Linked DNA regions of Drosophila melanogaster. Changing the gene in region 1 together with any one later gene gives a genetic interaction. Each region holds a gene or a part of one and is shown on either strand. Other genes may lie near its edges.

Evidence for each region.
Region 2: of Rab39 (region 1) and dnd, changing one suppresses a phenotype caused by changing the other (phenotypic suppression), as found in Drosophila melanogaster (one study listed by BioGRID).

What each region holds. Positions count from the first base shown.
Region 1 is NC_004354.4:7,729,565-7,737,368, reverse strand, and holds Rab39 (Rab39), read right to left. Parts: upstream 2,447-7,804; 5' UTR 2,142-2,446; coding exon 2,034-2,141; intron 1,606-2,033; coding exon 1,057-1,605; 3' UTR 613-1,056; downstream 1-612. Other genes in the region: Pdp (pyruvate dehydrogenase phosphatase), read left to right, coding at 3,237-3,350, 3,880-4,381, 4,488-5,055, 5,124-5,367; CG12155 (uncharacterized protein), read right to left, coding at 6,224-7,707.
Region 2 is NT_033777.3:21,883,678-21,891,481, forward strand, and holds dnd (dead end), read right to left. Parts: upstream 3,679-7,804; 5' UTR 3,466-3,678; coding exon 3,463-3,465; exon of another isoform or gene 3,352-3,462; intron 2,740-3,351; coding exon 2,611-2,739; intron 2,548-2,610; coding exon 2,416-2,547; intron 2,358-2,415; coding exon 2,082-2,357; 3' UTR 1,999-2,081; downstream 1-1,998. Other genes in the region: CG31465 (uncharacterized protein), read left to right, coding at 1-222; fit (female-specific independent of transformer), read right to left, coding at 389-754; CG17819 (uncharacterized protein), read right to left, coding at 1,121-1,168, 1,226-1,462, 1,521-1,655, 1,718-1,858; CG6678 (uncharacterized protein), read left to right, coding at 3,830-3,914, 4,358-4,877, 5,026-5,101, 5,162-5,590; CG43844 (uncharacterized protein), read left to right, coding at 5,941-6,237.

The DNA.
Region 1 (7,804 bases):
GGTAAGACAGTCTTTGCTCCGCCAAAAGATGTCAGTATGATGTATGCCTAAAAAAGACCACAACGTTGCGAAAAAAGTTGGTCTGGGAACACTGTCACATGCGCGAACAAATTTGAAAAAGATTTTTCCAACTTCTTTACATTACATTATTTAATTTGCACTACTAAGAAACAAGTAATGATTAAAGAATTAAAGGAATTACCTGTTGTTGCCAGACCGATGAGGCCACCAATATTTATGGAAATTTCCAACAAAATCTAGATTGATTGAGCACAACTACGAAGGTGTAAAACAACAATAGAAATCGTCGCAGCTAAGTTTTGGGTTATCTATCAAGTGGACTAAACTTTGCGAAAAATTTAATAAACGAAATAAAGCACATATATGTAAACAGCCGCCAAATATGCCGCGAATTCTTTTATTGTAAAATTGTAAATTTTGGAAACCGTGCAGCTACGAACGTTTGTGTATCACACAGGTTGCTTTTTTGACAATTGCTTCAAGACTCCTTTGATTTAACAAAGCGGAGAAATGTGCATAAAAACTCTAAATCGATTAGATTAGACAAAAACAAAGCCCAAGCTAACCCTTGATTAACCAAATGCATGCCGTCCGTATTAATAAAAACGTTTATATTTCAAGTTTTAAGTATATGTATAGCTTTTCCTTTCGTATTTGTGTATGTGGAGTTATGTGTTGTATGAGTTAGGAGCGCAGAATCTCGGCTACGTATACCTCGTGTGACTGGCTATCAATTATAGGGGCGAAGTAAACATAATTTGGAAAGAGGGGTTCAAACTCAATCTTCACTAATTACCGTGAGTCACCGAACTAAATATTAACTTAAAAGCGATTAACTATATGTAATTAGAAAAAAAACGCATTGTGTAAATATACGTAACTGTTTTGGTTTTTTAGCTAAACTAGACGATTAAACAAGATTAAAGAGTCAACAAATTGGTGTTTAGGGGGGAAAAGGAGTACTGGTGGGTCATACGATACAAATCAATGTACATAAACAGTATTGAAAATAATAGACAATGAGGTCGGGGTGAATCAACAACATGATGACTTTTCCGGCTCTGCTACGACGAGATTAAAGTCCAGACTATTGGGTCGCGAAAAGCCAGACTTGATGCCGTCCCATCCATCCTCCGCCTTATATTCGCCGGATCGAATGCGGGCGTACACCTCCTGGGTGACCATGCGAAATGCCTCCTCCACATTGGCACCAGACCGGGCCGATGTCTCAACGAAATGCAGACCGTGCTGTTTGGCAAATTTTTGTGCCTCCTCTGTGGTCACCTCCCGGTGTCCGCCCGCATTGATGAGGTCCAGTTTGCAGCCGACCAATGCGAAAACGGGGCGGTGGGGCTCAATGTGACGCTGTGCCTCCATCATCCACAGCGGTATGTGCTCGAAGCTGGCGTGATTCGATATGTCGTAGACCAGCAGCACGCCAACCGAGTTCCGGTAGTAGGACTTGGTGATCGAACGGAAGCGCTCTTGGCCAGCAGTGTCCCACAGCTGGAGCTTGATCTGTGTGCCGTCCTTCATTTCGATGAGGCGGGCAAAGAAGTCGACGCCAACTGTGGGATCGGATAACTGCAAAATGTAAATATTGTGTTATTTATGATTAGGTGGATTCTTGGGAGGCAGTAAAAAGAAACGCAGTTTAGAGCTGTAATGCTTTTGAGAACACTTTTGATTCCACACAATTCATGATATCTCTATGTTTTTAAATTTCCCGCGCAGTTATTTGAGTATCCCTGGTCCTATTTTGGACTTGTGTGTTGTTTTTGCTGCCTGCATTATCAGGCGAGCACACAAACATGCACACCAGCACACACACACACTGACAAGGTGACTAAGGCAGCATCTTTTTAAAATCCACTCCCTTTGTCTATTTTTTGTTGTATCTCGCCCAATGCAATCACTTAATTATGTAATGAACGCATTAACTGCATCTCACGAAGATCGCACAGTGGGCCAAGCGTCCAAGTACAGTGGCCAAAATCGTTGGACATACGCACCTCGGCGAATTTGCCGTCTGTGAAGAATTTGAGCAGCGAGCTCTTGCCCACGGTGCTGTCGCCGATTAAAATCAGTCGAAATTGATACTCGAAAATGGGTTCCACCATTCCGAAGCCGAATTCGAGGGATTTGTCTCTTGGAATTGAATCCGCAGCAAAAAATCTGCCTTCCCTTTGTAAAGTTTGATACGCAAATCGTTGATTTGCTTATGCTGCTCGTTTTTCTTCTTATTTCCTGCAGTTGTATTGCAAATCGAAACTTTCTGTTCTTCACACGATTACTGGCTTTGCAATGAGATATTTCCGGCTGTCGCTGGTGGTTGTTAAATTATAAATATTCGAGAATTCAAATTCCTTCGAATTTTGTTTTGTTTTGTGTTTTTTTCTCATATGCGTGCGCGTGTGTGTGATAATGACAACGTTGCCAGACCAGCAAAAGTAATCGATAGTAGCCACAATGAAATTATTTCATTACCATTATTAAACAGTTATATCTTCTAAATTATTTAATAAAAATAGTGTCCTCACATCAATTTGGCAGTTTTCAGATTTTTTAACAAGCTTAGATGTATTTTTCGGCGGTACACAAAAACTAGCTAGACTTGGCTTGAAAACGGTAACCGGCTAATGGCAACACCGCCAGTCTGGCACCGCCGCCCAATAGAGATGGTCAAAGAACGCGATTTCGCGTGACACGATGAATGCATACAAATGTAGTTAGTTTAAATTGTTCTGAGAAAATATGACAAAAAAAATAAAATAATCTTTCATATTAAGCTAATAAATTTACAATAATTACACAAAAAGATTTGGCCTTGTACAGTGCTTTGACACATAAATTAAGACGTGCGTGTTCATTTTCGTTCTAGGCTGTCTCGTGCAGAGAAAAACCCATCGCTAGTACGCACTGTATTTTCTTTTTACGTTTGTTTTCCGTGAACACCGTCCGCTTCGTATTTCACAGCACACAAATGTACAAACAAGCCGCCGGCCAATCAAAAGCAACAGCGGAAAATAAGATCCCTTTGTCAGCAACCGGCAACCGGAGTCGGTGAATCAGCCGGAGGCTCCGGGATACGGAATCCACCACGTTCTCCTCCATCTTCTTTGCCTACTCCTCCCCCGATTTGGTTACGGAACCAATATCATTACCGTTAATTATAGCCACAGCGGGGCGAGAGCATATACAAAATCTCCATATAGATGTTCAAGTTCGTGCTGAACGACGCCGCCAGCTACGTGCGATCCAATGTGCGGGAGTTCAGTTTGAATGCACTGCGTCTGCTGCCGCAACTGCCTCAATTGAGTCCATACGATGTAAGATTTGGGGTTCCTGGCAAGTGTCATTAGCAAGCTGGGCAGGGTTCGTAAAATGTAATCAGTTTGTAAGATCTTCGATCGAAAGTACTTCTTTACTTATTAATTATTTTGGATTTTTCCTATTGAAGCTACTTTTAGAAACCACAAATCTATGCATTACATCCCTAAGCCGTTTAAAAATTTAACTATAAAGCCTGCATAATTTTCTGAAGATCCAATAACTACTTTCAAGGGCTTTCAAGAAAGTCCCGAGTGTTTTCCTATAAACAAAGTGAACGACGTCGACCCGACTGTATTCGATTTTCCATATTCATATTTCAACTACAGCAACCATTTATAATGCCTTTACTGAGCAGTTAATTTCATTTGATCGTTTGCACTGGACAAGAGTCCATACCAAGCGGCTTAAGAACAAAATTTTTAGGAACCGAATAAGAATTAACTGATTAATAACTATTACCATGGGAACCTTTGTAATTCCCACATAAAGAGTAAGAATCTGTATTAATGTAAACTATTTTCACAGGTTAACCTTGTTCTGAGGGAGAACGAGTTCGTTTACAACTTTCCCGTGGATGGAGTCATCCGCAGCTATGAAACAAATCAGCTGGGATCAAACTGGCCCTGCGAGGATTCCCGCACGGAGGCCAGCTTCCTGCACCGCAACGGCTTCATTTGTGGCATTTTCGACGGGCATGCGGGAGCAGCATGTGGCCAAGTGGTGTCCAAGCGACTGCTTCGCTATGTTTCGGCGGCCACGCTGCCGCGCCAGGTGCTCCGGGAGCAGATGAAGCAGGGTGCCGACAGCCAGTCGTTCCTCAAGTGCCACAATGACAACGTGGACTTTGTTAGCATGATCAAGCCCATGTACGAGGCTAGTTTCCTCAAGTATGTCAATCAATTGTTAGAGACACCGCAACGGGATGTATCCAGTGAACTGGTGAACGCCTTCCTCCAGCTGGATGAAGAGATCTCGCAGGAGGCTCTGACCAGCAACGATGTACGCACCATGAACGTGGCCCTTTCTGGTGGGTGATGTATCCATTTATTTATGTATATAAGTTGCCATCCCGTTTCATACTTTCCTCTTCATAGGGGCTTCATTTCTAAACTATAAATGTGTTTATTTTCCAGGAGCCGTTGCCTGTTTGGTTCACATTGAGGGACTGCAGATGCACGTGGCCAGCACGGGTGATTGTGGCGCAGTGTTGGGCGTTCTTGATCCCCAGACGCAGCAGTGGCACTCAAAGAAGCTTAACATCGAACACAATGCTGACAATATGTCCGAGGTGCGTCGCATTCTGGCCGAGCATCCCAAGGAGGAGCATGAGACGGTGATCCGAAACGGCAGGCTGCTTAGCCAGCTGGCGCCGTTGCGTGCCTTTGGGGACTTTCGCTACAAGTGGTCCCAGGAAATAATGCAGCAGAAGGTGCTGCCGATGTTCGGCGTGCAGGCAATGGCGCCGAATTACTATACGCCACCGTACCTAACCGCCCGCCCCGATGTCCAGCAGCACGAATTGGGGCCCAACGACAAGTTTCTAGTCATCGCCAGCGACGGCCTATGGGATTTCCTTCCGCCCAGCGAGGTGGTCAGCTTGGTGGGGGAGCACATCAACTCCAAAAAGATCCTCGAACCGATGCGCCTGCCGGAAGGCGATACAACGCTGCAGGAAATCTCTCAGCAGCTGGCCGAAAGAAAGTCAGTTATCCTTTAAATGTATGCTTGTTATTTATTTATTTATTAATTACGCTTTTATTGCATTGCAGGGCTGGCCTCACTCGCAAACCCGTAGACCAAAACGCGGCCACGCATCTCATCCGGCATGCTTTGGGCGGCACCGACTATGGGATTGAGCACTCGAAGATCTCGTACTATTTGACGCTGCCCAGGGACGCGGTGCGTCTGTATCGCGACGACATCACAATCACTGTCATCTACTTTAACTCGGAGCACATTGCCAAGCTGCACAGCGATGTGGATCAAACGGAGGTCACTGCGCCGGTAGCATGATCTCTGCGAGAGTGCATATGTGTATATTTAACGAGCCTAACCTTCAGCCGAACTAGCCTAAGTGTTGCGTTTAAGTTTGTTTCATCCGCCATCGGACCTCGGACGACTGCTGCGCCAAATAAATCGCACGCGGAAAGCGAAAAATCACATATGCAAATTGTCTTGTTATTCATAAAGAGCGATGATCGGTCGTCTCATTTGTTAATAAAATAAAAATGACATGAAAATCCCAGCAAATATGTATATATCAAGGGTTATAAGCAATCAAGAAGGTTTCTTCATATATTTATTTCTCAAATAGTTCGTGATTTTGTAAAGTAGATACTATTTTTTCTTTTAAAGCAAGTACTTATATTAATTTTTGCTGTTTAAAATTTACAAGCAATTCGTAATGTATATAATCTAATTCAATTTAAAACTTCTTATTCTATAATTTACGCCAATTTTCTTGTTTTCAATTTAGTTCGGTCTATAAAACGGGGGGGAAACCAGGATAATCCTAAGACTTAGGTATAGATCATCTGTTGCAAACAAGCTATTCAACTTTAAGAATTTCGAATTGTGTAGTTTTCGAGAATCGATTTATTTTCTTTTATTTCCAATTACAATTGATTGTAACGCTGGCTAATATATATGTATATATATTTTTACTCGAATGGATGGTGTAGAGGGGTGAAGGATACAGGGATCCGGGGTTTCGTGGGTGGAGGATAAAGCTAATTGAAGAACGCGGAATCCACGAACTTGCAAACTGGTAAACGGTACGCATCCTAATCCTATACATGGAAAAAACTAGGCAACTACTCAGGGATCGTATTGGTTGTTTTTTGGGGAACATAACTAAAAACAGGTGTCCCTAATCCTTGCCATCCTGTTCGGCCGCTTCCTGCCGGCTGACACAGTTGAGGAACTCCATCTGAATGTGCGTAATCTGTGTCTTGCTGAAGCACTGCATCTTCTTCTTGAGAAAGTCAAAGAACAGATCGAGCTCATCACGCTTGGCCAGTGCCTGGGCCACTTGTTGCTGCTGATGCTGCTCATCCTCCTTGATGAGATTGTTAGAACTGCTGGCCGCCGCACTAACGGCCAATGGCTGGCCAGATCCGCAGTTCAAGGGGGGCATCTGAATGATCGTGGCCGTCGGCGTGGATGTGAAGGATGTGGTATTGCACAGCGCCGCTGCTGGCGTGGTAGTCACGGTAGTCGCATTCAGAGAAATGGCCGGCGTGCTTGAAATCGTCACACTGGTACTGGTCGCCTCTGTTACATCCACCAGGGAAATTTGCTGCGTTGACACTGAGGAATCATGACGATTGGTTGATCCACCGCCCCCAGCCGCAGGAGACGTGGTTGTTACCAGCGTGAGATTCTTTACCTTGCCATCGGTTACCACAGTCCCACCGGTTAGGACACTATTTGAGCCATTGCCCGATCCACCGCTGGCCGAGAACTGATGCTGGCTGGAGCGAACTGTCTGTGGCTCAATGTCCGATATGCAAAATTCGTGTGTATCGATGTAATGGAAACCCTTGCCGTGGGTAACATCGCTACCGCCGTCCACGGCGTCACCCACACCAATTTCGCAATCCACATGGGCACCGCTGGCCTCCTCGTACAGGCACACCTCTTCGTAGTCCACCTCGGCGCCGGTTGCCCCGTCCTCGTCCAGTTCGTGCTTCACAATATCCAGCTGACCGTCGTGGTCGACCACATCATCTTCGTCATCGACATCATCGACCACATCGTCATCGTGGGCAATCTGGGAGAGCTCAATGCTGGAGATGCTGCCGTCGTGCTGCGACTGATGATGATGGTGGTGGTGGTGGTGGTGCGGCTGGTGATGATGCTCCTGCTGGTGATGGCCATGATGATGGTGATGGTGGTGCTGCGATACAGTGTCATCCGAGACGCCCTCCTCGTAGGCGGTCAGGATGAAGGTTTCCGCCTCATCGCTGACCAGGGTGATCTGCGAGGTGCCGTGATGTGAGGAGAGCGTGGCGGTATCGTGATCCGATTGCCCGTCATCGTCCATCACCTCGTCGTCGTCATCGTCCACATGCTGTTTCAAATGCAGCATAGCTCCAATGGGCAATGTGGTACTATTCGCGCCTCCAATGCCTCCACCGGCGCCGGCAACCCCACTCGTCTCATAGGTGATCTGTGTGTTCCGGTGCGATTTCAGTTTCGGCTGGTACACCTTCGACAGGAAGTCCAGCTCCTTGGCGTAGCGCCACTTGGATAGCCGCCCTTCGATGTACTTGGGCGTGCGCAGACGGTACTGGTGGAAAGTGTCCCGCAGGTTCTTCCACTTACGACGCACCTCCTGCACCGTGTACTTGTCTGGAAGAAAGAAAGAGGTAGTATAAATATGAGCGGGGTTTCAAAGGAATCGTATTCCTTTTACAGATAATTGATACAAGCTAGAACCTCTTCAAAG
Region 2 (7,804 bases), on another chromosome or scaffold:
TCGCGGGATTGCCAGGACATCTGCATGTCGATTGTGGACAGACGGGATATGCTACGACGATACAGTATGGATGAGCGGCGAAAGAATCGATTCAAGGAGCAGCTCTATATGGGCAGCAAGTTCGCCAAAATGGAAAAGGAGCGCCAGCTGGCCGAGCAGGAAAAGTGCCACAAGCTTGCTCCTCAAGCTTCGCGCGAAACGAATGGGAATCCAAACCCATAAGACAAAGCTGAATTTAAATTAATTATTATTTAAACTTAATTTATTTTGATAATTTGTTACTAATTAGTTCGTTTGAAAGGATTTGATTATTAAAATGCATTTTGCAAAAAAAAGGTGGCTAAAGGAATGTCCTTAAATTATATCAACTGATCACCAAGTCGTGAGCTTACATTCCATTCGCCTGGCTCATTTGGTGGTGAATGAATGACATGGTGTATCCAATCGAACGCCTAACGCAGTGCACGTCCATCTGGCCATCCAAGATGCACTGCCTCAACTGATTGACGGCGTAGTTCTCGATCCGTTTCTTGGTACTCTCGTTGTCAATTCGTTCCAGTCGCTTATCCACCTTGTGCATTAGAATGAATGCCTCTGGGAAGTGACCCACATCACAGGGCCAGTTGACAGAGTGCGGATGCGGGTGGCTTAGACTTGGACCTTGGGACGAGTTGTCCTCCTCAGACCAACGAATATTCCTGGCCTGCACCAAAGCCAGAGCCGAAAGAAGTAGAATCACCAGAGTTGAGTTCATTTCAACGATCGCTGTTAAACTGTGCCAGTCAATTCTATAACTAACCCTTTTATAGCCCCAAAAGCAACAACAACTAATAACTGATAATGCAAAAGGGCTTTGTCCTCACAATGTTGCTACTCAGCCACGAGTTTTTCAATTATTGACAGAGGTCAATGTCAAAAATCATTGATTAGCAAATGGCTGTATTAATGTATTAATTAAAAGAGTGTTTGCCGATCAGCAAACTAAATGAATCATTATTTGAGGCAAATAATTTCTATAATACAAGTGTAACAAACTATTGTTGCTAAATTACATTAAATATATATTTAATATATTAGTTAATAGGTTGCCAAATTTTTGAAAATATAAAAATGTGATAAATCACTTCCTGTTATTGTTGATCTTTTCGTTAATCCAATTTACGATCTCCTACCCAGATAGTATAAGTTAAATTATCAGATTTCGAATATAGAACACAACATATACCTGAACACCAGACCCTGTCCGCATGGAACATTCCTCAAAAGTCCAATCTCGACCAGTTAGGCGATATAGGCCCATCAAATCGATAACCGTGGACATGGACAGGGATCCCGAGGCGTCCTTCTTGTTGGACACGATCAGCAGCGGAGCATTATCCAGTTCCTGGTGCATCAAAACATCGCATAAAACACATCGCGCCTCGCTTAGCCGCAGTGCATCCGTGCTATCCAGTACAAAAATCTACGGTTCAGGGATTGTAGTCGAGTCTATATAAGTTCTATATAAGTTCTCCTCTCACCAAAACATTCACTTTCTTATAATACTTTGGCCAGATCTGGCGATTCTTCAGTTCTCCGTTAATATCCCACAACTGGACTCTGAAATTATTTATGGTGAAGCTCCATTCACTAACTTGATTGTTAGATTCCTTGGACTGCAAATAGTTTATGCTAACATTATCAAATGGAGATAGGACCATCACATATATGGCCTTACTTCTCCATTGAAAATTTCCGCCAGGCGGTCTGTCAACGTGGATTTTCCCGCATTGTCTAATCCTAAAATGAGCAGACATGATTTCTGAGAGCCTGCGGGCAGGATCTTTTTTATGAACGAAACAGGTCCGTAAAAACACATGGGGATCGAAATTTGATTTCAGTTTAGATGTCAGGTAAAAATGAATGATTTAACTAGCATAGCCTTCTCAACTATATATTCAGTTTATACTTAAAGATACACGTGAAAAAAGGAAGATTCATCCAACAATTAGAGATTGTGATACTTTTGGTGAGTTGAAATGTAGGTACGTATATTTAGTTCTTAGGGACAACTTAACAGGCGACGATTACTATAATTTAGATTACTTCTTCATATTCTTGCAGACCCAGTCCATTCCCTCCTTTAGTCCAGTGCCATCCACAGCGGTACAGGCCTTGATCTCCCAGGTTCGTCCCTGCAGTTGCACCAAGCTCATCTTCTCGGCCACCTCGGCGGCACTCATGGCATCCGGCATATCCTGTTTGTTAGCGAAAATCAGCACGGGAACTTGCTTCAACCGATTGTCCATGAGCATTTCGAATAGTTCACTACCCGCCTCGGGCAGGCGAGTCCGATCTGTACAGTCAATTACATAGATCTGAAATAATCGAAACTATTAGCTAACAGAATTGAGTTTAGATCTATAACAATCCTACCAGCACATCAGTATTCGCAAAATAGTTCTTCCAATATGGACGTATCTTCCATTGACCACCAATATCCCATACATTCAGTTTGAAACCATCGGCTGCCACGGACTTGATGTTAAATCCTGCCGTGGGCGTTACCTGCGGGATTTCACTCCGTATTTTATGGGGAAAACGGAAGAAGTTCGCCGCCTTTATACGCACCGTGGTTATGTCCTCCGATGCCAGCTGCTTCAGTATCGTGGTCTTGCCAGCATTATCCAATCCTAGGAGCAGGATGCGAGCCTCCTTTTCCGGATTGGGTCTCAGTTTACGCAACAGCGATAGCAGACCCTAAAATTTGTAAGCTATTAAGTTGTTGTTTTTTCTACTTAGTTTTTTGAAGGTGTGTTATTCTAGCACCTGATTACCAGTATTAGTCTAGACTCGGTAGTATCCTCTGGTCTATCTTTGAAATTTTGAATAACAATCTACATTTGGTAGTTTATAAACTTGTAAAATTGTTAATAAATATATGTGTTTTTATAAATGCAACATATGCTTGTAAACACACATGTTTTGTTATTATCAATGTTGTTATCAATAAAGACGATGTAAAGTTGTAAAAAAAAAACTTGCAATTAAAACGTTCTCTTAGTGATAGAATGCAAAAAGCTTATCAACAGGTGAACTTTACAAACATATTGTTGGAATTGAGATAAGGGCTCGCCAAAAGAAACGACAACAAGGTTGAATGAAATAAAAATGTTTATTGGTAAAAAAATTTGCCATGTTCACTTAAAAATTAAGAACTCTTTTTTCCATTGTGTGCTACAAAAAGCTTATTATGTTTCTTTGTTTTCCGAACCACCAATTTGGTTTTTTTTTTCGAATACCGATAATTACGCGCCTAAAACTTTCGAAGTAGTGCTGAAAAAAGTTCTGCTCTAACAAAAAAGTGTTGTATAGTTTTTGAGGCGGGTTTCCATGGCGACGATCGCAAAATGAAAACAAATCGTGCAATTACGGAACAACAAGGCACTTAATTAGCTGTTACGGAACCGGGAGACAACCTACCATCGTATAATTAACGCGAGAATAACAGCCAGGAGGCGGTGCGATCTCCGACCACTATATCCGTATCTGTATCCCCCCGATTCGGCAATCTGCTCTGGCCGCCCAAGACGGTGTCTTCTGGTGGTCAACTCAGGAAAAGTCGGATAACTTGAGAATTGGATCAACTTCAACCACCAAACACAACATCACTGGCTCGTCGCTGCACAACTACTGAAAACAAAATTCGCTCAACGCTCTAACAAATTCCGACAGCAACAACAACAGCGCCAACGGTCGCCGAGCAACCGCTGCAAAGGATTGTTAGACGGGGGACGTGGTGGGGGTGCGGGTCGAGCGGTATTCGAATTGGAACGGGAACGGGAAGAAGATGCCGCTGCTATTTACGGGCTTCAACGCATTTGGCCAGCATGAATGTGTAAGCGGCGACGTCGACTGCGCAGCCGGCTTCAGCGGTTTGTAACCGGCAACAAAAGCCGCCGATCACTTAGTTGCTACAGTAGGCACTCGCTATAGAACTCGCTGGGATGCATGCAGCTTATACCATTTTTACAATTCTAATTCTATCTTATAAAACTGAATCCGATTTAAGCCAGATGAATTTTTAAGATTTCATGTTTAAAATAGAGTATAGTGATTTTCAGGTGAATATATACGTAGGACATTAATCCATAAAATTCTTTGCATATTCATATTCATGCATTGGATATAGACTGCATTTTAATTGACAGTTATAGGGTAAATTACACATCGGTACTTGGTGCCAACTGCATTTTTTGATTGGCCAAATACATACATAGCAATGAAATTGATAAACTAATAACTTAGACAAAATCTTTTTAGGGGGCTTCCACCGTATGTATGTATGTGTACTAATTCAGTTCTGCCTTTATTACAGAATTAAATGCGCCAGTCTCGACTCAGAACCAGTGCACGATTTCGATCGGCTGGCGGTATGCGGCCCTCGCTTTTGGCCGGAAGTTGTGCCTGCGTGGGCTCTTGGATGATGGCCCAAATGAGTGCGTGACCCTGGAAGCAACGGGGAACATAAGGGCCCTTGCCGCTGCCGATTCCCACTGCCTGGTGCTACTCCAAAGCGGTCAGCTTTACAGGGTGCAACCAAAACTGCAAGCGGAACTGGTGGCTGTTAGACTAGAAGCTGCTCCCAGATCCAATTCGGGTACAAAGCGCTCTATCTTTGGGGCTGCCAAGGCGCCTTCGTCGCCGATCATAGAGCATATTGCATGTGGATCGCACATAAACGTAGCGATAAGTTCGGAAAACTGTGTCTACAGCATTCCCAGCTGCCTGCATCAGTTTTCCGAGCGCCAATTTCGGGTGAAGCAGCTCCAATGCGGCCATGAACATGCCGTGCTCCTCAATGCCAATGGCGACGTGTTCACCTGGGGAAATGGACTGTAAGTAAAGGTCATAATGAATGCGTTGGCTGTGCAGAAATGCAGCCTATAAATATTTACATATTCTGGTTTTAAGATATTTAGATATTAGCGAGTTTCTTATTCTAATTCCTAACAATTTTTTTCACTTCTATGTCATAATTAACAGACGCGGACAGTTGGGTCTGGCGGAACTGAGAGTGGAGGAGACGCCTCAATTGCTGGAGGCGCTGGCGGGGATCAAGGTATATATATATTTGACTTGTCCACTTATCTTGTCTGTCACACATTCAAGTGCCTTGCAGATAACTCAAATTGCTGCCGGTGGTTGGCACAGTGCGGCCATATCCGCCTTTGGAGACCTCTACACCTGGGGCCTCAACTGCAGCGGTCAGCTGGGATTGCGTGTGATGAAACCCGGTGGCGTCCTCAAAGAGCCCACTGTATTTCCGCTGCCCCAGTTGCAAGATCTGCCCGAATGTGCCTGCTCCCAAAGCGGGGAGAGCAACGATGATTGCGCACCGCTGAGGGTGTTTGCTGGATCTCGTCACACTCTGCTGATCCGCCGATGCGGGCGGCTATGGGTCAGTGGTTGGTGCAAGCACGGTCAACTTGGCAGGCAGCTCCAAGACCTGTCCTATGTGGATGCTTTTCAGGCCCTGGAAGGTATCACGATGAACCCTACTGTGGATGATGTTCTCTGTGGGCCATGGTCAACGCTGCTCCATTTGAAGGTAACGTTGGATTGAAGACACATACATATGTACCTTTTAAAATGGCTTCACTATTAAATCTACTGAATTGAACACAGCTTGGACACAAACCAATTTACATGTCAACTTGGTTGCCTTCATGTAAAATGTATTGCCACACATTTTACTTGACTTTTATCTACTTTGTATATATGTACAAAATACGTTGTATGATGAGTAATTTAACATTTGTATTATATTGCATATATTACCAACTTATGTAGATAAGTAGGCATTGGAATAAGTGTTTCCCCACTATTTTAGTACTTTTAAATTACCAAAGACAGGCTGGATGAGCGGATTGCCCTTGAGCATGGCGTAAGTTAAGAAGTATGCAGGATCAGAGTCGTTGGCCTGTAAGAAACTTCCTCATTCCCAGTCCCAGTATATTCTTTATTCTAATATGGCGTATCACCGTGCAAATGATGTATCCATACGGATACATGGACTGTTCGCTGCAGGACGCGTTGGATAATGAGTATCTGGTATGGAACAAGGGCGATCACCGGGAAAATCAAATGATGCTGATAAGGGAAACCGTTCAAACCACACTCCTGCTCGTGCTAATGATAGAGGTGATGCTGACGTTCAATATTCCGATTCCGATGGTCATAGGCGCCGGAATATAGTCTCGGCTCTGAACTCTGTTCCCGCCTTATTGCTATAGAAGCTCTATAGCTACAGTCCGTTTATTGTCCCATTAAAACAAGAGTGCTCAAATAATTTCGTCTTGGGGTAGGACCGCCATTGTGTCAACGTTCGTCGACTTTGTCGTTGTCGTCGCTGCACATTTAATCAGTAAATTTTATTTTTAAAAATGGTATTAAACAATATTTGCCATAGCAAAAGTCCGACGCTCGCAGTGCAATAAACTTTTCAGCACTTGAGCCGTTCGCCTGACTAAATGACTGATTGACTGACCGACTGATTGACTGACTGACTGACTGACCGACTGATTGGTTGGAATTTCTTTTCTTTGTTTTAACTTTAACTCGGCGCGATTATTTCGATTTCGTGGAAGTGCGTTACTTGCAAAGGTTTTGATAGGAATTTTATGCGTCATATACGGGATATATTCGATACGATAACAGTTCAATTGATTCGACTGGGAAATGCTCATTTCGATTGCTTATAACTTCTTAAAGAGGAATTTTTATGAAAACTGTACGCTTCTGAGATTGGATTTTTAGCTGATTATAAAGCCATATATGTAGATATATTTATACTAAAATTGAAGTATGTTTTTTCCAATTTTTCGAAGAGAATTTTATACAGTTTCTAATAGATTTTTTTTCGAAATTTGCATTTATTATAGTCAACATCTACCGTTGCCGATCCTATAGGCGAATTTTCCGCTTTATGGTCCGCGATCGAGTTCAACGCTTTTATGTTATTTGCCAAATGAAAAAGTAAAAACAAATGTTTATCTTATAATGCACTGGGTGGCAGGCAGTTCAGTGCAGTTCTGGCGACACGCACACATGTGGTGCGTAAACAGGCTTTGCTTTTGGGTCTTACACTTCATTTCTTATTTTTCCGTTTTTAACTTGGCAAATATTGTTATCATCGAAAAAAGAAAACACCCGGTACAAAATAAGCAATAAAGTGGGGAGGCTTGTCACTTTTAGGTCGCAAAACTATTTGCTGCTAGAAATTGCCACCGCACGGTGACTAAGAGATAGAGAGAGAGAGAGAGAGTCAGATGAGTCCAGAAAGAGATGGCCAGATCACCGGGGAGTTCAAGCGCCTTGCTCAAGGCAATTGCTGTCTGCAGCTTATCAGGGCAACTGAAACCACTCCATGCAGCAAGTACGAAAAAGTGCTAATTGTAAGCCCCCCCATTTCCACAGGGGCTCTCTTTTTGTTACTCGAAAATTGTAATTCATGCGTGCCAGCAGACGCCAAAGTTTCAACAGAACTCAGTCAATCATAACCAAAAACGAATAAAAAAAACAACAGGAACAAAAAGTGCCCAAGAACACTCCTCTTTGGCCTGAAAGTTGTCTGCACCTTCGGTTTGGGGAGTGTTTATGTTTGCCCTCTGTCCAGGGGGAGATCCCTCCTCCAAGTGCGTGCCAGTCCGCATGCAACGCTGAGCAAGTAGTGGCCACCAGTAGCCGATTGGCAGTCAGATCCATGTCCATGTCCAGAAGCTGAACCATCAACACCCGCCTCGATAAAACCGCAGGGAACGCA